Styela clava: one gene and its partner. The protein of the gene in region 2 binds, or shares a complex with, the protein of the main gene of each other region. Links are inferred from orthologs where the notes say so. Each region holds a gene or a part of one and is shown on either strand. Other genes may lie near its edges.

Region 1 (10,631 bases), about 21 Mb from region 2:
TGATATCACAATAATTTATTACATTTATTTTACACTTATTATAAGTAACTTCCATCAAAAGCCGTTTTGGAGTTCCTGAAAGTTATGTTTAAAACCCTAATCTTAACGCACTCATTATATCAATATGACTTCCAAGCTTGCGACATGTAGATGCAAGCGCACCAGTACATAATATACAGCAAGTAAATGAATATGAAATGGATTGGCGGTGTTTTTACGTCACTGTATATGTATATTGAGTTGAATATAAGACATATGACATTGGTTGTACATTATATAAATGTCTTCATATGTATATTAAATTGATAGTATATATATGCATATGTCCAGTGGTGGAATTCAAATATTTTGTCAGCCGGTTCCATCGCAAAAGTCATATTTACATGTTTTTTTTAATAATGCTAACCGGTTCGCTGATCTCATAAACTTCTTTGAGACGGTTTTATAGAACCGGTGCGAACCGGTTGAATCCCACCACCGCATATGACATTGACTGATTGTGTGCATCACTTGAGTGGATGTTAGATAAGTGTTATCAAAGTATTATATATTATTGAAAATAAATCACTTATCTCTTAAATTTTTCAAACTAATCCGCGACGATCGTTTTTTTTTTCAACTTTTTCAAATCTATTTGCCCTTCCGCATCGCTTACTTACCAATACTATCTCCAAATTTCTTCACCTGACACAAACTTAAATTCTCCTAATTGAGGCATCAATTACACCAACATGTGTTTAATCCAGATTGCGTTAAAATCTAAAAGTTCGTTGTCAAAATAAGAAGGATTAACATTGGAAATTTTAGTACGACTGGTCCACCATAGCGAAAAATACGTTGAAAGTAAAATACAAAATTAATGAAATATACAACTTGTGGACTGGTTCAATACCAATGAATTGTAACATATATATTTTTTAAGTCCTTATGTTCCAAGATCTTAAACATTTGGTGTGATTCAGGCAGCATTCGGTGACTGCATTTTACTTGCCATGTGTGCGTAAAGTTCCATTGATCTCGATTGGAAAAGAAATATAATATTTGCTTTTATATAAAACATCATGCCTTCCCATGTAGTCTGGTATGCGGCTACCTTCGATCTGTTGTCTTAGCAAGTTCTAGACTAATTCCGATTTGCTATTTTGTGTTTCACGTAAAGCTCATGGACCGTCTAAAATGTTTCTGTAAAACTTTGTTTTATCACCATAATTCTACGGTATCAAAGTTTCAGTATCTGTTAGCATTTCAGTGGTCGCCTGAAAGAGATGAGTCTGCTTCACTTCTGAGTAAGAACGAAAGGCCCAGCTTTAATGTTCGATTTCGATACGATATATTATATACGATACATGACACGCATGTAATATACTTAATGTGCTTAACCGTATTCGGGTTACAATTTTTAGAACATTCTTCCATTTACTACTTCTGCTCCTGTATACATGTAATCTATACCCGTGTAATCTATACATGGAGGCTTGGCCAGTTAAAGTTAGCGTTGTGATGATCAGGTGACAAGATTTTTGCGATTCCAAACCACAACTATCTCATGAAATAGCCAAAGCAGAAGATATAGGCATATCAGATAATATACGAATAGGTGGCATCGTTATCAGAAACTTTCCCCGGGCAACAGAACCGTATGCAGTATGGGATCAGATGTGCGTATGTGCCAATTTTCAAGGTGGAAATATCTATGAGTGCAAATTTTGGTGGGTACAAAAGTATACAGGTGCGATTTACGTGAGTAAATAAATTTACATGGGTGCAAATGTGCCGTCACCTGATATACTTTTCGAGAGTTCGCCCTTATTATTTACCTGAGTCAATTTCATCATTTTATTGAAGCCGGAATGGCATTGAATATTAATCTTATCCCTTATGCTTATAGTGTTGAATAAGACGGGCTTTATAGCAGCTAACAATTGTTCATTGAAGTTTCGGATAAACTAATAACATACAATAATATTGACATACATACAACAATAAAGTAGCAAATATCGTGTTAACATCGCAGAAAGACGGAATATTGTATTATGTTATTTGCCGTGACACTGTCCTGTACACTTGTTTTTATGATGACAAATACCCTCCATAATGTGTTTTCTGCGTGTGATAGTTGCGAAAAGGAGGAGAGAGAATTTATTTTTAATTTATAGATAATTTCGTCAATATTTTTTCGTCAAACCAGAAAGCACATAATAAATAAGAATAAAATACGAGAATTAAAAGTTTTCGATGACCATTCGAAATATGTATGAAAGTCGGATTTTCACTATTGAAAAGAATAACCACTTTCCTTTCAAAGTCTGAAAGCTCTTTCCTGCCTTCCTCCACAATATGGGTTTCAAAATAGAAATCGAATAAAACCTGACCAGTATGGATGTTTCCTTCACCCCTGGAAGATTCTCCCTATATTCACGTTGTTATTGCCAAATATTCAGCTCTGATTTTGCGAGTGGTTTGGAGAGTTGGCGCTCACAAACTCGCTCACATGTTCAAATCTATCATTTCTATTCAAACATAACAAACTTATTGCTGATTTGTAATTGTTACGGAAATAAACAAGAAATGATGCTCGGGGTAACATTCATCAACCTGAAATAAATAAAAACGTATCGAAAAAGAAACGAGAATATCGGTCAGAGACCGAAGACTTATCGATCGAAAGTTAGGGTACCCCCAAAACAGCGCTCTTACTTCATAGTGACGCCTTGCGTCCCATCACTAATTAATTAATAACTCGCAAATTATACGACATAATTCATCCAAAATCAATAGGCTTCTGGTACGACATATGATGAATGCACATGCAAAATCTGGTGCAGATTCAATCTCGCTTTTGTGAGATATCGCGTGCATCTAACAGACAGACATACAGACAAACAAATACCTATCAACATACTTACCTATTAAAATCGATACGTAATGAGTTAGCACGCATTTTATTCGTAATCTCATCTGACCTTCAAATTTCCTGCTTTTCTAGCGACCACCCTGGCAGGGGTCGGCAACCTTTTGTCGCGCGCTCGCTATTTTCAGAAAGTTGAAAAAACGAACGAATGATACTTTTCACGATAAAAAATGAAATCAAGAAGGAATACATTTCTCGAATTGAATATAGATTGATTTCATCATTGCATTGCATCCGAAAAAATTTCATTCGAATATTTTCAGCGCCATTGAACCCTTTGCACTTAGCATCAACTTTGCGTTTTGTTGCCATTCGTCTATAAGCTCATTAAACGAGGTTTTGTGGAATATATACTTGTTAGGGTATAATATAATTTAGTTTAGCCTACACGTGTCTCACAATAAATTCTGTTACGTAAAAAATATAACCGTCATAACAGCCGTTTTGTTACTTAAATTCAGTGAAGCGTCGAGGGCTGGATTATTATTACTCCACGGGCCGGATCTGTTTTGAAATTTGAAGCAAAATTTAGTAAACTAGTGTTTACTTGGGCAGTACAATTGTTAGGTTGCAATCATACGCACATCCCAGTTAAGTCATAGATAACGTTACACACCAGGGAAGTCATAGATAAAACATCCACCATGTAAATGTAAGCGGTACCATGCGTAAAAATTAAGCGTGCAATATTATGAAATGTCTAATCATGGTTTGGCAAGGAAGAAAACTGTGAATATATTTTTACAATACTGTATATTATAATACGATATTCTACACAATTTAGAGATGTAGGTTTTAAAATTTTGATAAAAATGAAAATATTGGTAGATTAAAGAGTATACGGTTGGACATGTACATGGCACAAATATTTTCAAACTGGGGAGAACCAGGTATAAATACACTCTTATACATGACATATCCACACCAGTATCCATTTGAAAATAGATTTGCCTTCATAATTAATATTTGGATATGATTTGTTTCATGAACTCAGATTTAAATTTTTTATAAGAGAAGGTTTTGAAAATGTCAGGAATATCATTTCAAATTTTGAGCCCAATGATTCTGATTAAATATTGAGCTAAATTTGAGTTTATTCGAGGATTGAAAAACGCTCCTTTGGAAGCAGAACGAATGCCATGTGAATGCACAGAACCACAGTCGGTAAAAATACGAATTGAAGGCTTTAGTTTATTGCTAACATTACAAAGATATAGTTTTGTTGAAAAATTAAATTTTTCATTTATCACAATACAAATTTTCTTCAATCAATGCCGATTTTTTTCTATTTATATTTAAATTTATTATTACAATAAACGCGTCCCGAAGTTATTTTGTGGCAAGAATTTTGAAGAATCATTCCTCAACCACGCATTCACAGGTAGTGTTACTTTTAATTTAAACTATATATTTACTTTATCCTACTCTAATATTTACAAATAGGCCTAACGTTATATGAAACTAAGACTTACAAAATATAAAATGAATTTATTCTTTTATTGTCCCGATAGTGATTTCGAACTTTTTTAGATGCCTCGATATTCTCGTGGCATATGCCTCCACTAGAAGCCAGATGTGCCTCATATATGTGCCTTATTGAAGATACAGTATTTCGTTCCTCAGCAGGGTTATTTTGGTCACTTGCACGTTACTTGCTCAATTCTGCGATTCGTGAATGAGTGAACTAGGTCTAGCGCCACGATGTCGAAGCGTGTCGCTGATAAATACTTAACAGACCAAAATTGGGACAAGGAAGATGAGGTTGATGATGACGATAACTCTGGAACATTCAAGACAGCGGATAATGATGTTTTGCAAACCCGTGTTATTCGAAAAGCAAAGCGTAGGATTGTTGGTAGCAGTCAACAATCGGTGAGTGTTGCAAATAACAGAATAATTACTAAATGGTGTTGTGTTGTATAGTTATGCTAAACCAGGATAACATAATAATTCAGTAGACTAATTTTATCATTTTACTCTATTATAGCCTAGTTTAAGGGTGGAGATCAAAAACCTCACTTAACTTAAACTTGGATTAAGACTAATCTCGGGTTAGTTAAACTCGGTTTAACTTCGATAGTTAACCGGTGATCAAAAACCTAGTTTAGCGGTTACTTAACTAATCGTGGTTTAAGTCCGACGCCACGAGGCATTTCATTAAAACGTCGTGGCATGTTGCTCTTTGACCCCGTATTCCCATGGCGATGACAACGCGAACCCAATTTTGTTGTAATTTGCTGTCTTTGCAAAGTCGGTTTTTGATGTATTTCGTTGATATTGCCGAAGCAAAACAATCTGGGCGGTAGAACTACGAAGAGCTGACGCGCATCACACGAAATATCGAAATAATAACACTTTATCATAAATAGAATTCTTCCCACTACTGGTACAGTCTACAACTACAACAGGGTCGGCTAACCATTTTGGTCTAAGGGCCACATGTAATTCATTAATAATTGCGCGGGCCAATTGACATGTTAGTTATGATCTAGTTTTGCTACACTACTACAGGTTAATAATAAAAAAATACCCTCACATCGATTTTTCACAATTATTAGAACAATAAAACTGTTGTTTTCCAAACATTGACGGGTCATCATCAGTGGTTATTCCCGAAAGTTTAGCCAAAGACAAGACGCTTAATCATTTTTATCACAGCTGTCGAACAAATCAATGCTTCTAGTCAAACCCTTAACAGGGGCAATGGCTGCGGTCTCCACGGTAATTTTATATCATCATTAACTACCCGCAAAAAGATAGCAAGTCACCAACTGAGCAGTAAACTTAATGTCAGCGCTTCCTCAAGCGCCAAGGAATACAATAAAAAATATCCCGCTTTTGCGATTAAAATTCTCGCGATAGAATTCCCAAGCTCTTCAACAAGACGAGTTATGGTCTGTCTTGACAGGCTATTTTTGCAAACACCTAGAAATGCTTCTACATATGGCCCGATGGCCACGAGTTGGACGACCCTGGTCTACAACACCAATTGAATCTAACATTTTCTCCTAAACCTCAGCGTAACAACAAACAGACTTCAATTATAGAACCCACATCCTACTTAGAGTGAAAACAGACGAAATGAACACACTTCAGCTGAAAACCTATCCCTGGCAAGTTCTGGGCCACAGGCTTCTACATATTTAACATAATATTATTTTGAAAATTTGTATTGCAAAAATAACTAATATTCATTTGTTCAAATGACTGCTAAAATGTACTGACATTCAAGAAATGGAAAAAGTATAGAATCAATTCGGAAGAGGTGCTAAATTTTATCCTGGCTCTACAGCTTTGAGACAGATGCACACAGACACAGGTGCAATCATAGTTGTTGCTTTCGTTGCTATTTAAAAGTTTTATTTATTTCTTCTGCGAAAGACTCGCCAAGTGACGAAAAATCGACATAATTACTTTTGCTTCAAATGTTTTAGCATGCAAGAATAATTTGTTTGTTAAGCTTAAGTTAACCGGGTTCCACATATTTGTTGGACACAAAGGCGGGTTCCACATATTTGTTGGACACGAAGTCGTAAAATAAAGCACTGCTGCAATCTTGACTTGACAACACTTTTACTATAATCCTATCCATAACAGTTGTTTGTCTTCATGACCTGAACAGTATAAATGAAAATACAGGGTTAAAGATAGTATATTGATGAAGTGCGCTAGATATTAAAGAACCAAATTCGACCTAGGCAATGACTAAAACCGAATAATTTGTATTCGAATTTGTACAGATTTTTTTGTATTCTGAAATGATATTTTTGAATTACATAAAATCCAATGTATATTTAATTATATGAATTTGGAAAAGTAAAACAGTAGAGTATTTTTAGTTTTCAGATATTAAATGAAGGCTCTTTTGTCTTCGATTGTGATTGCATGTCGAACAACTTTGCTCTACTCTAAAATCATGTGACACTAGTTTTGCCTGCATGTAACAAGAAATGACTAATGGGAATGATTTTGAAAAGTTTGTCACATCTCGGTTACTTGAACATATCTGGGACAATACCAATAAGAAATTTACCTTGATGAAAGTATCCTCACAGGTTCCATTACATTTGAACCCACGTACATTTGAACCCATGACAATTGCACCTGTATGCTATTGCACCTATGGAATTTTTTTTGTTTCACGGATAGTTAAACCCATACTAACCCTAACCCATGGGTTTTAGCACCCGCATATAGATTGAACCCGTGGATAGACGCATGGGTTCAAATGTACATGGGTTCAAATGTACGGTCACCATCCTCACATTATACGAATAATACAGATTATACACACAAACTAAAAATAATTTTCATTTAACAGCTGATACTAAAGAAGCTGATACGAACGTGAATTTAGGACAGTTTACATACAAATAATATGACATTTAAATAGTGACAAACTCACAAATTTGCTCTACCAATAGAGCTGATGAAATTGATCATCATCATGGCACTCAGACAGTTTACTTGATTTGAAACAGCTGTAGAAATAAATGAAAAATCAGAAAACAATGTTACATTAAAGAAATGTTATGATAGCATGAACCTTTGCATTCATGATAAGTTATTGGCAATATATAGTTATCAATATACTCATTTCTGCAATCTAGCATTTGGTGAAATTCATGGTCACGGTACTTCAATATTCTAGTTTCATTTTATATAGCAAGAGTCAGAATCATTAATACCATAAATATCGTACATCTGTGCAAACAGCATACCAATAACATGCAATATGATTTTACATTGGTGTACATCAAAATATCCAGTCAACCTTCTGCTATCTACTTCGGGAACTTGCAGACTTGTGAATTAGCCGATGACAAGATACATACACCGGGGCACAGTGCAGTAGTGATACATGGATATCGTAGGTAAATCTTAGTTCTGCTCATACACAAAATATAATTAAAAGGAATCTTTTGGGCACTGGTAGATCTAAATATCTGAAAATATATCATTTTTGTTAAAACATTTTGAAGTTTATATTACTGTATTAGGACTAGGAGTATCTGTTCGACGGTACCACTGCGCAACTGCTTATCAACGAAACTGTACTAAAATACTGGGCCCTATGTCTGTTTATGACAAGAACCCATATAGCAATAGGCTACTGGTATAACTGTAGTCTACAATCTAAGTTAAAATAAATCTTCACAAAAACTGCTAAGAAAATTAAAAAACGCAAATAGCCTACAGAAATGTATCAATACGCTGGGTATGTATTTACCTTACTAGATTTATTATAGTATAGCCCCATTCCACGTTGTAAATAATTTTGTTCGGGCGTAGTACGGTAGGTACTAGGTACAGCACAGGTACCACCGCGAATGCTACATATCGCAGCCTCGTGGTACAGGTATACAATTATTTATTCGTCGTGACGCTTGTACAGAGCTCCCTGCTACTCCTTTTGTCGCCCCAGAATACAATATAGATTGTACGGTAAGCGATAACATCCAACACGACAAACGCCGCAATCCAAATGCACTGGACAAACCGAGTTAAACCACCTCCAGACCAGGTTTAAAAAATCGCCGATTTTAAGTCGAGATTTACGTCACAGAAAGTTAAACCACCTTTTTGATCCGGACCTAAACCGCCGATCCAAAGTTAAACTCTGATTCGAGGTTAAACTACCTTTTTGATCTCCACCCTAAGTATTGTTAAGCTTATTTCGACTTCATAATCAAGACGGCAAGATGACTTCATAATCAGACAATAAAATAATTTATAAAAACTTAGTCTCTAACTGTATAAATAAAAATTGATTACAGGTGAGCATGCAAACTGACAAAAACTAAAGTAAGGTTTATCGCAATGGGTCAAAACAAAAAAATTTGGCGACACTTGAGGGCCAGACCATCGAACAACCTATTAGTTTCTAGCAACTTGAAGTTGAGCTAACATTAGCAAAAAAAAGATTTCCGTGCTACTTTGGTATGCGATCTTAGTAGTGTGATTTTAGTTAGGGTTAGAAATCGAATTCGATGAGAATATCTTAATGAGATAAAACGCATGCCGAAGTGCCACCACAATTATTGCCACTTTGGTATACGATTGAGATCACATTAAGCAAGTGAGATGATATATCAAAGTGGCATCGAGATTACTTTTTGTATGGATAATTTTTCAAATTCCTATAAATAAAGCTTCCTAAAATAATAATAATGGATAATAAAGTCTTTAACGTGCCAAACATGTTCGACGGGCTGGATATTGCACTCCTCTGATTTAAAGCATACACTGATAGTCTTATACAGTATTTAAATTTGGAAGTGGTCCGTGGTCACCTAAAAGTGTTTAATTATTTCACGCATACATAATTATTATATCTCTCTCTATTTTATCGATTTCTTTTTAATATGTTTTATAGTCAGGTAGAGCATAGATTTTACTATATTCTTATTATGTCTGAATAAGATTTGTCAAATTGGATTTATTTCAGACAGCCTCGGCATTTTCTGGTTTTGGTGGATTGAAAGCCCCAACAAATAGTACCAAACCTTCGTTCGGTGGTTTCAATCTACCAACTTCTGGAAATGGAAGCAATGTTTCTCAAATGAAACCGTTTTCAATGTTTCAATCTACTGGATCCAGTGGATCAGCTGCAACTCAGCCAACTATTCAATCTTCATCAGGGGATAAATCATCTACTAGGACGTTAGAATCCAAAAGTAAATATTTTTTTTACTGAATATTCAGCACCCAAACTGTGAACAAGGCTATAAACCAGCATTCACAAGTCACAACCATGTAGAAGCTACTGTTTCATGAGGATTATGATATTTAGTTTGGTATACTGTCTGACTTTACTTAATATATTACACTTTAGATGTGCACTTGGAGTTTAAACTCGAAATCTTCAGCCTGTGACTTCAAACATATCTGGGCTAGCACGATTTGAAACTAATTCTTATTCAAAGGTCCCAAGTTTAATGCCTTTTTAATATTTTTCAGTGGTATTATAACAATGTTTTCATTTTATCTGAGCTTAATTTTGACTTTAGCCGCGGATAGTACAACTTCAAAAACTATTGAAATAAAGTCGAGTGATGATGATACAACACAAAACTCAAGAGAATACAACAGGCAGCTCAGTGCTTTGAATCGAAGTGTTAGTGAATGGATAAAGGTATCCTATCAATCGCAAAATATATTTTGTTAGGAGCAATTTTTATTTGAATGCTAGAATAGAAAATTTAGTTGTACAATTTAGTCAGTAACGAATCAATGTCTATTTTATAAAATTTTGTTGATCTGATCCATTATGAGCCACTCAGTTCCAATTGATTCATAAATGTGAAAATAGTTTGTTTCGAGAAGTTTTTGGTAACCTATTATTAATTTCAGAATCATGTGGAAAAGAATCCATTGTGCGATCTCACTCCTATTTTTCTGGATTATAAAAAATATTTATCTGAAATAGATGACAAGTATGGACATTCAGACAATGAAGGTTCATCGTAAGTAATGTACCCTTTATGGCTTATGCTATTCTTTGCTGAATTAATAAGAAATGCTTTACGGTTTTAAGTATGTTACATTAAATTTCGAACATTGTTTATAAATTACAGCAAAAACAAATTGGTAAAAGTTTTTGTGATCTCGGTCTGTTCAATAGTTAAAATCTCATAAAATTTCTTGCCATTATTTGGAGATGGACTTAATCGATTGAAAAAATAGTTCAATGCACTATTATTCCACATTTATTTAATAC
Region 2 (10,631 bases):
CGACGTGTCATAGCGTGTGTCCCATCACTAATTAATTATTAACTCGCTAATTATACAACATAAATTTCTCAAAATCAATAGGCTTCTGGTCCGAGATATGACGAATGCACATGCAAAATTTGAAGCCAGTTCAATCGTGCCTTCGTGAGATATCGTGTATATTTACCAGACAAACAAACAATTAGGGAAACTGCACTAATTAAAATCAAAAAACACCAAATATCAATTTTTTAAAAATTTGTGTCCCCACCCCTTTCAAACTGAAGGATATTCACCAGAAAAGTTCTCTAACATGGCAGTATAAATGAAAGGGAATTAAAGTTATCACGAATGAAATGGAACACACAATATACCACAAACATTTTAATCTCAGTGGTTATTTCTCGAGTTTGTTAAGTCGCTTTTAAATGCAGCCGACAAAAATAAAACTCAGATAGTTTTCCTTCTGTATCTACACGTTTGTCATCTCAGCAACTTGGGGAAAATTATCCCTTCTGGATTTACTCCTCCCCGCAGGGCTCCCGCTCCGATATGCAACGGTTACTGGCTCATATTGACCACACAATGGGATTCTAACACTGCATGGCTTCACCACTAAAGTCAATACACTCGATACCATTTCTGAAAACCGGTCACAAAAGTTCAGCCAGCCTCAACCACCGCATACATATCATTTTTCTTCACCAACGGGGGACAATTGCATTCCCCAAACTCTGCTGCAACTTGGAACGCACAGTCTTTCCACTACTGGACATTTTTGCCCGCCATATCGAGCTCACTTGAACGAAACCCGAGTGCACAATCGTGTTCAAACTTGCCCAGACATTGCTCTGCTCCTCTCCGAAAACCTGGGCATGGCCCACTTGAAACAGCGTTGCTTAAATTAATGAAACGACATTGAATAAGGGTACACAGTGATGGGATTCAGCCGGTTCTATAGAACCGTCTCGCGGAATTTTATAAGATCAGCGTACCGGTTAGCAGTACTGGTTTATTTTCTAAAAAAATATGACTTTTTGTAACAGAACCGGCCAAAAAATATGACGTTTGTGATGGAACCGGCTGACAAAAAATTTGAATCCAACCACTGGGTAAACATAACAGTTTATAAACATAAAAATTTATAGACACACAATATAAACACGGACATTATGGTCCGTGACCAGTGGTGGGTTTCAGCCGGTTCGCACCGGTTCTATTGAACCGTCTCAAGGAATTTTATGAGATCAGCAAACCGGTTAGCATGACTGGTTACTGTCAATGTTATGTTTGTAACAAAATCGGCTGAAAAATATGACTTTTGTGAAGGAACCGGCTGACAAAAAAATTTGAATTCCACTACTGGCTGTGACACAGGGTAATCAAAGGTGCGATGACGAGCGTGTTCCTTACGCTCAGCACGATGCGCCACACCGCTGAGTTTATCTAACGCTGCATGACTACGTGACAAGAAATCAGCAAAGGAATGAGGTAATCACAATACCCGAAAAATTTGGAAATGGGTTAAATACATTTCGGTACATCAATATATTTGAGGCACCACAATTCTACCGCAATACATGGTTTTGGCGAAGTTCTTTAAAATTAAATATACACTACAGGCATTCACTCGCGCCTTGGTGGAAAATACCCGGTACCATTCTTTATCAAAACCAGTTTCTAGCTAGTCGAAGTTCTGTGTGATCTGGCTTTTACAAGGAATTTGCTTGTTTATTTCTGGTTGTCAGTTTCCCCTGTTCGGTACAATTTCAAAAGTACTAAAGATATAAACCGGTGCCATCCTGTTACCGCTCAATAAATTTATTTTCGTTTTGTTTGATTCTGTTTCTTTGGTTTAGTTAAATAGGAAAGGATAGGATTTAGGATAGGATTTACATATTTATCCCGGGGGAGAGGAAAGCCGATAAGACGGCTTATCCATATGGCGAACCACGGCCTCTCGTCCGGTTACCATTCCAAGTCGGGTATGGGATTAGTTTTACTGTATTGTTTTTTTTTTTCGGAAGCATGGACTTGGTGGTGGAGGAAGCCGTAACCGACCAGCGGTTACGTGAACCACCCAACGACGGCGAGGAGTCCAGCAATCCTCTCGCACATAACCATCCCTGCATGGGATTCGAACCTGCGAACCCACGCAGAGTAATTAGAGGTGCGGTGGCGAGCGTATTCCTAACGCTTAGCCCGTTGAGCCACACCGCCGCGCGGAACAATAACCTAGCCTAAGATAAACTGAATCAAATAGGACATACTGAATAATTGGGGGTGAGGCAATTGGAGGGCAGTACAGTATCTATAAAACTTTTACCGCTAGGGATAATCTGAGGAAACGGGCAGATTATCGTAAAGTCGTTGTCAAATTAGATAATAGAATCTTGAGCGTCGCCGCTCGATAGACAGCTTTGCATCTCCGCGGGTTCCCTTCCCCAATAAAAGTGTGTACAGTACTTATCATTTCCCTCGTAAATTGTGTGAGATTAATTTCAGATCGGGGAAACTGTGATTAAGGCGCCTTGTTGGCTTTCCCTGGTTAAATAGGACAATTGTATCCTATTCAAACTAGTTTTAGATTTTACCGCTTTAGTACCAGAATTGAGTATTTCCATTCATGTTCAAGTTTATTTTTTTATCCAGTAAAAAATACAAATTACGTTATTCAAGGATAAAAAGCCAATTTTCAATCTTATATTAACATTTTATTGCTACGGTACAAGAGCAATGATTACCGATGTTGTATCCTAGCAAATAACACTTACATAATCTCACGAATGAACTCAGAAACGAGCGATATGCTTGAGTAAACAAACGAGGCAATGGAAAATTTTCAAAACTAAACCACGTGCTGTGACGTCATCGGCGCGAAAGGACGGTCTCGTCTCGATCTGGACGGTTGTTAGTTTCTGGAGGTGAGATTTCGAAATTTTATTTTCATTTAGAAAAAGATGTTTTGTATTTGTGGAGGGGGGAGATAAATACGATGTGACGGCTTAAAATATACGGGTTTTTATAGATTTACCAGTCCATGTCAATTATGGGAATATTTTGGCGCCAAATCGTTTCAGGTCCGCTTACTTTTGCGTTTGATTTCGCGTATTCAGGACATCCGCGGCTGGATTTGATTAATTTACTATTATTTTTTTTGCCAACTGCCGCTACCTCCTATATTCAGTCTTATGATGATAAAGTTTGTTTGCATATTTTATAAAGCTTAGGTACCGTGCAGTCAGACAGTAGTAGGATATCATATTTGCCCCTCCACAATCTGACATTTCTGTTTACAGGTTTAGTCATATCGGATCGGGACACTCAGACATTACAGCATTAGGATAAGTTATGCTATTGCCACACATTTCTCTCTTTATATTGTTCTATAAACAAATCATCCCAATCTTAGGTGATTCATTTTTATGACCTGTTACATTTGTTATGCCTGTATGCTGAAGACGGATCTGTATTGGACTTGGAAACAGAATAGACTACTGGACTACAAGAAACAGTTTAGAAAGTGAGCTAATACAGTAATAAATCCAGTATGCACACTTTAGGATCGAGAGACATTGTCTCGTTTTCAAAGAATCCCATTTTGCCAATGAACTCCTTCCAGCCTTCCTTTTTGGGGACATCTGGACATTGTTGACCCTCAATACAGCAATATCGGCAAAAATACAGTAAAATGAAGTTAGGCAATAGACTACAAAGAAGCGTGATCCAAACACGTCATCATCGAATTCGATTTATCGAAGGAAAAAATTTTTTACCGTGGCATTCGAGAGTTTTTATAAAAAAATGGCAATTTTGATCACATGATGGCCGCGATTAATTTAGATTATTATCGCGACAAGCATGGTGCGATATGACGCATCTGGCGTTGTGCCAGACAACTCTCGTTTGTGAGACACAGGAGTGTTTGGGACATTTCTAGAATTTGAAAAGTATGCCCTACTGCTGTACTGAAATCCAATGGTGATGTTTTTAGATTGCCCTTGCTTTTAGTTTATTGCACAGTGCCAATTTGTCGCTTTAAGCTGATTATGGACATCCAGACTGGGAGTCGCAGTTCTTACCACTTCTTGACAGCTCCTGCCACGAACGAACCGCGACGACTCTTGCCATGGTTTATGGCGCTATCACAGTATTATCGGTATATTCACAAAGTCATGTACCAGATTTACGTTTATCATGCGAAAATATATCTACTTAAACCTGAAACCTAAACCCCAAATACATCTAAACTGTATCTATAAAAAATGTTCCAACTTACGCAATATAAGTCACCATCAGGGCAGCCTTGTCCTAACCATTCAGGTGTATATAACTAACGGCCGACCTGCCGTGGTTTTCAATTTGCAGCCGCGGTAACGGCAGCTCGCCATTGGTTTGTGGCAGTTGGTCGCCGTGAGTTTGGCCATAGTGGCCGTGGTTTGGAAATACCGCTATGGTTTGCGGCAGCTCCAGACGCCGAGAAATGCTTAAAACTGCACTTGAAGACTGGAGGGGCTTGCACTCACTGTTATATTTATTGCCTTTTAATGTGGAGCTATCCTTAGAATGTTCATTTTCTTCAAGTCAGGGCCGTGAAGTCTGATGTACTCGAGACTGAGCAGACTTCCTAATTTCTCAAATTTGAAAGTCCAAGTCTCTATTACCGACTTTCAATGTAGATGGAAAATGGCTGCATTTCCAACAGAAAACTAAGAACAAAGTTTGCCAAGCGCTCTGTGCAGTTTTTGTCTTCAAATCTCAATTTTCTAGGATTTCGGAGTTGATTTCAAATTTTTTACAGGCTGTCAAATCTTTTCTTAACCCACTGTCTGGCAGTACGGCACACTATACAGATTGAGCGACATTGTCTTGTTTCAGAGAAACCCATTTTACCGGTGATCAGACACCCCTCCCCTTTGGGAGACGTCTGGACATTGTTGTCCCTCAATATCGGTGAAAATACAGTATAACGAAGTTGCGCAAAATACTACAAAGAAGCGCAATCTAAATACGTCATCATTGAAGTCCTCGGGAAAAAATAATCCGATTTAACGAAGGAAATTTTTCTTTCATGGCATTTGAGAGATTTTAGAAAAAAACGGCAATTTTGGTCATGTGATGGCCACATTAATTTAGCTATGGCGCGATATGATGCATCTACCTTTGTGCCAGACGCTCCTTGTTTGTGAGACACATAGAGTGTTTGTTTTATCGAACCAAATGAAGGGAAATTCTCGGAATTTGGATAGTGTGTCGTACTGTCTGGAAGTAAATTTCCAGACACCATAATCCTGATACAAATATTCTATTCGCTTTGGATATCTCAGTAGGGCACAGTTTGCAGATTCCAAAATGTCCCAACGTTTGGTTCAATAAAACACTCAATATGTCTCTGAAACATCTGGCATGCAGCAGGTGCATTAGTTCGCACCATGCTTGTCTCAATAATAATCTTAAGTAATCGCAACGAGTGCAGACGCCAAGTGACCTAAATTGCGTTTACTCTCACATAAAGGAGGGAGGTTGCACTCGCTGTTATAATTGATGTCTTTTAATATAGAATCGGAGAATCATGCTATACTGTATATTGACCAGTTTTCTGATCACAAATTTATATTTCTTCTTTAGAAATTAGATATTTTGCTTAGTTAATTTGGCAATTACGGTAGAATTTGTTTGGGAAAACATAAAATATGGCACAGCAACAAGCAGACAGCGACATCCCTCGTTTCAAATTGGTACTTGTTGGTGATGGAGGTGTAGGTAAGTCATATAGGTAGATAAAAAAAAAGTTTCTTACATTTTGAATATTTTTAGGCTGACTATTATTCCCTGAAAAATAGAACTCGCGCAAATGCAGTTTTAGGGGACCGGTCGCTTCAGCTGCTGTGGAGGCTGTCGTGTTTGCGCAGATATCAAATACATTTCAAAGTTGAAAGATCAGGAAAAAATGATTTTTGACTGTTACGGATTTCATGGGAGAAGTTAAGTTCCTTATATTCTTCAAGGCTCAGAATGTCTTGGCATGAACAATTGAAAAGCTTTTCATGATGCTCTTTCATGTCTATTGCTATGAACACGGCCCTCTACAGGCAGGGAGCCACTGATATCTACTACAGGGACAGTGACTCCTCTACAGCCCATGGGCCGGGGCCACGGCCCATCTAATTGGGCCACGTGGGCCGTGGCCCATCAAGCTATGGGCCGCGGCATCATCAGTATATATCAATTGTCTTAACAAAATAGTCCAGTAGTATGTGTACCAGGTTAAGGTTGGGACAAATTTTCGTTCAAGTTTTTCACATTATAGTTCTATTTTGAGTTCGGGGACTGTCTGTGTTAGCCAAGTGAATAGTCCTTTTACACAACTTATTCGATGGGCTGGGCCCCGGCCCATTGGCCATAGAGGAGTCACCACTTCCCCTCGATATCTGAGGATATGTGGAAAGATTGGAATCTTTCTTGATTTTAGGAATAGTCTTTATTTGGAAAATCATTGTCTAAGTGAGGAAGCTTACAGCCAAACCAAAAAAATAACAATGGAATTGTTGAATATGAACTACCGGTAATTTAATGACCTGGCCCGAGTGCAGTGATACGTTTGTCAACAATGCGCGAGGCTTGATGCAGTGATTGTATATTTTTTTAATGGGAATGAAGCATTTCGTTATTAATATATGTTAAATTATTTGTAATTTTACTCAACGAAAGTAGAGGCAAACTTAAAAATTTCAATGCAAACAAAACAACTCGGGCTTGATTTTTAACGTGTAAATACGGTAGAAAACGTATATGGATTGGACGCCGGGTAATTCAGCAGTAAAGCGAAACTAAAGAAAGCAAAAAGTACATTTTTACTATAGCGGAATATTTATTCACAGCGATCGGGCCTCTCGCTTTGTTGATGTCATATCTTCAGCCTCATGGGCCGAAACGTGTGTATGCCACATTCCACATAGAATACAGTCAATATTCGGTACTCCCGTTCCCGTAGTATGGGAACCAAGATGGCGGACACCGGAATGTAGTATGTGTACCAGGTTAGGGTTAGGCCATAATTTCAGGTACAAATACTACGGAACTTCCCAAACTCGTAATAAAACTAAAATTGGAAAAGAATTATGGCCTAACCCTAACCTGGTACACATACTACGTTCCGGTGTCTGCCATCTTGGTGCACATACTACAGGAGCGCCCAAGATTCAAAAATATTATTTTAAAATGTGTTCTGTGTGTATTAGGTTTTATTTGTTTTGCCTTCTTTGGTAATGGGTGTTTTATTTGTTTTGCCTTCTTTGGTAATGGGTAGGGGTTCAATTTCCCACTATAAATTGCAATTTTTTTTATTGTTGTGAATTTCCATATGTTAAATAATTTATTGAAAAAATTTTTTTTAGGCAAGACAACGTTCGTCAAGCGACATCTTACTGGAGAGTTTGAAAAGAAATATGTGGCAACCCTCGGAGTAGAAGTCCATCCGTTAAGTTTTCATACAAATCGTGGAAAAATTATTTTTGATGTCTGGGACACAGCTGGACAAGAAAAATTTGGAGGCTTGAGAGACGGATATTATATTAGAGTAAGTTAAAGTTTCTGAACCCGAGAAAAATTTCTTCCCGCGGGGGGTCGGTTTTGAAGTTTTTGGGAAGGGAATTTTACTTTGTACTTGCGTGTTGACTTAGGGATGCATGCCACTTTTGGATTTATGGATCGATTCGAATCGCATCTTTTGCGAATCAGATTTACGCGACTTGGTAACAGAGAGCGATTTACCGAAAAATAAAAAGATTGAATGTTTGTTTATCTTTGTTTTCGGCGGCATTTAAATTTGCCGAATGCGTTTATGCGGCACTCCAAATAACACCAATTGAGCAAACATAGGCGTGCAATAAGAAAAAAAAAAGCTTAATGGAATCAGATTCGATTCGATTCGAAAAAAAGTGTATCCAGAACTGGCAACCCTACGTGTGGTATCATTTATATTTATACTTAACATGAAACTCAAAAAAAAAGTTACTTTTTGTAAGTGGTCAGCTCATACGCGCATAACTCTGATCGCACTCAATCAAACGAAATGACATTAACCTAATCCAATTCGAACCATGCTTGAACTTGATCACTTGTGTGATTTGTAGGGTCGGCTTATATGCATATTTTTAGAAATTGACCATTTCGGGGCCGTTTTTAGGGGTTTTATATAGTATTTAGTATTATTGTAATGAATATGAATATGCATACATTAACTTATATTTCGTTAACAAAAGCCAGAGTTTGAGTTGCACGCATTGCAAACCAAACGTAAATCAAGAATAAGAAATGCAAATTTTTATGCAAAGTGGGAAAAGACTTGGGAGCTTAAAAGTTGGCCCAGAGAGAAACGGGTCAATAAAGGTGTAGATGGAGTTATTTAAACTATTTCTGGCATTTTTTTTGGGGGGGGGGCTGATTTGATTTGTCTGGGATTGTTGAGTCAGGAGATGAGTTGGGCGCATTCTGGCTGGAGTAGTATTTTCAAACTTTTCAAACCCAGAGTTGTGCGTTAAAATTCTGAATTCTCGGAGTATGTGTCGGGATTTCAGACATTTGATAGTGATGAATTCAAAATAAAATGGATCTTTTAAAGCGTCTTATACTCTTAATTAACAGTTTATCAAAGAAGGCTTGCACTCACAAAATATTTTGTTATCAAGCCTATGTCAAAATTGTGAGGTTTTCCAATGCAAGGAACCCAGGATGGCAAATACTATTAGGGAGAATAAAATTGAATTGAATAAAACGGAATGTCAGTTTTCAGGGGGTATTTAATGGTTTTGGCCTGTTTTTATGAGTTTTTTTCAAGTTTGGGATGGTTTTTGCATGTTTAACGAATTTTTTGTTTAAAAGTCTTTTTACAGTTCATAACTTTATTTTCTCGATTGACAGGGTCAATGTGCGATTATTATGTTTGACGTGACGTCCCGTATTACGTACAAGAACGTACCTAACTGGCATCGCGATCTGGTTCGAGTTTGTGAGAATATTCCCATCGTGATGGTTGGAAATAAGGTAGGCCACTTGATTTTTATTACTGCACTGCTTTGATCGGGTTTTTATCCATACCCAGGGCACATTAGGCTATAAGGTGCAACGGTTTTTGATGCAATATCGCTGTTGGTATTTTAGTGTAGGTAATAAAGCATGGAGTTCTACCTGAATGATACATTAGGCAAATTTTTGGAAAGAAAAGTACGCCTAAGGATTTGAAATTCGCCTAGTGCCCCATTATGCCAATATTTTTTTGGGTACTCCCGCCGAAGTATGTGAACCAAGATGGCGGACACTGGAACGTAGTACGTGTACCAGGTTAGGTCATAATTTTATTCCAATTTTCCTATTTTAGTTCTAATACATTTTAATGGTGTCAAGACAAAAATACGGATGTTGAAATTTGAAAAAAAACTCGTTTAAAAAATTAAAAAGAAGTAATAGGTGCCTTCAAGCTAATATCTAATCATAGTTTGAACTTGATGATGAAGTAAGCCGTAGCTGACCTGATGTTACATGAACTACCTCAAGACAGTGAGGTGTCGAGCAATCCTCTCGCATGTAATTCTCTCTCACAGGTTTTGTAGTGCCGAATCCATGCAGGGTAATCAGAGGTGCGAGCGTATTTCTAACTCTCAGCACTAGATTACCGCCGAGCTGATCTTTTTCCATTTATTTTTACTCAGGTCGACATTAAAGATCGCAAAGTGAAAGCAAAGGCAATCGTTTTCCATCGAAAAAAGAATTTGCAGTACTATGATGTTTCGGCCAAGTCCAATTACAATTTTGAAAAACCGTTTCTTTGGTTGGCACGAAAATTATGCGGAGACGCCAACCTCGAATTTGCGGAAATGCCTGCTCTGCAACCACCAGAGGTCAGCGTAGATCAAGAAATGATTAAAAAATGGGACGCGGAACTTGCTCAGGCTGCCAATGCACCTTTACCAGAGGAAGAGGATGATTAATTTAAAAAAATCCCCCTCCCACCTTTTGAAAAAAAATATACTCAATCTTATGTATGGTCGAAGTGTTGCCACTCTCAGCCTTTCTTTGATGGCAATAAACTCGGCAGAATTTTATGGTCATTACTCCCACCGGAAATACTCTCTTGTGCCTCTTTGTGTATAGTCTCGGCAGTATTTTGTGTTATTTCACCCCACTGGAAAAAATACTCTCTACTGCCTGCTTGTGTATAGTTTCGGTAGCATTTTGTGTTCTTCCGCCCCACTGGTGAAAAATCTCTCTACTGCCTCCTTGTTTATAGTTTCGGCAGCATTTTGTGTTCTTTGCCCCCACTGAAAGAACTCTCTACTGCCTTCTTATGTTTGGTCTCTGCAAAATTTTGTGTTCTCCCACTGGGAAAAAACCCTCTACTGCCCTCCTATGTTTCTCTCCCACTAGAAAAACTCTCTATCACCCCTCGTGTTTAGTTTCTTTTTGCATCTCCACTGCCCTCTAGCATATAATCTCCCTTTTTTATTAGCCCATGCTAGCTCATCTTGTTTTCATGAAAGATAGCGAAATTTTGTTGTTTTACTAGTTTCACATTGCTATAGCAGTACTACTGGGTAGTTTTTTAAGGAATTTGGGTTTCTATCGGCTACTTAATAGTTCTCACTAGTCTAGCG

What was found.
Region 1: the proteins of GTP-binding nuclear protein Ran-like (region 2) and nuclear pore complex protein Nup50-like are in contact, whole or in part, in a crystal structure (PDB 7MO0), measured with the Homo sapiens proteins. The link is inferred for Styela clava from reciprocal best matches to the Homo sapiens genes RAN and NUP50. Residues at the interface, in NP_006316.1 of Homo sapiens: Arg29, His30, Thr32, Gly33, Glu34, Phe35, Glu36, Phe52, Val124, Asp125, Ile126, Lys127, Ser153, Asn154, Tyr155, Phe157, Glu158, Phe176, Ala178, Pro180, Ala181, Leu182, Ala183, Pro184, Glu186, Val187, Asp190, Pro191, Ala194, Tyr197; in NP_009103.2 of Homo sapiens: Pro344, Pro345, Lys346, Val347, Val352, Lys362, Cys363, Lys364, Phe366, Tyr367, Lys368, Asn371, Glu372, Phe373, Lys374, Glu375, Lys376, Gly377, Ile378, Lys384, Lys390, Gln392, Leu394, Arg396, Thr399, Asn400, Leu401, Asn403, Ile404, Leu405.

Annotation. Positions count from the first base shown.
Region 1 is NC_135252.1:2,760,247-2,770,877, reverse strand, and holds the start of nuclear pore complex protein Nup50-like, read left to right. Parts: upstream 1-4,510; 5' UTR 4,511-4,612; coding exon 4,613-4,783; intron 4,784-6,065; exon of another isoform or gene 6,066-6,525; intron 6,526-7,316; exon of another isoform or gene 7,317-8,925; intron 8,926-9,359; coding exon 9,360-9,588; intron 9,589-9,921; coding exon 9,922-10,046; intron 10,047-10,264; coding exon 10,265-10,377; intron 10,378-10,631. UniProt on the Homo sapiens protein: Component of the nuclear pore complex that has a direct role in nuclear protein import. Actively displaces NLSs from importin-alpha, and facilitates disassembly of the importin-alpha:beta-cargo complex and importin recycling.
Region 2 is NC_135252.1:24,002,476-24,013,106, reverse strand, and holds GTP-binding nuclear protein Ran-like, read left to right. Parts: upstream 1-5,607; 5' UTR 5,608-5,672; coding exon 5,673-5,742; intron 5,743-7,376; coding exon 7,377-7,558; intron 7,559-8,901; coding exon 8,902-9,024; intron 9,025-9,689; coding exon 9,690-9,968; 3' UTR 9,969-10,542; downstream 10,543-10,631. UniProt on the Homo sapiens protein: GTPase involved in nucleocytoplasmic transport, participating both to the import and the export from the nucleus of proteins and RNAs. Switches between a cytoplasmic GDP- and a nuclear GTP-bound state by nucleotide exchange and GTP hydrolysis.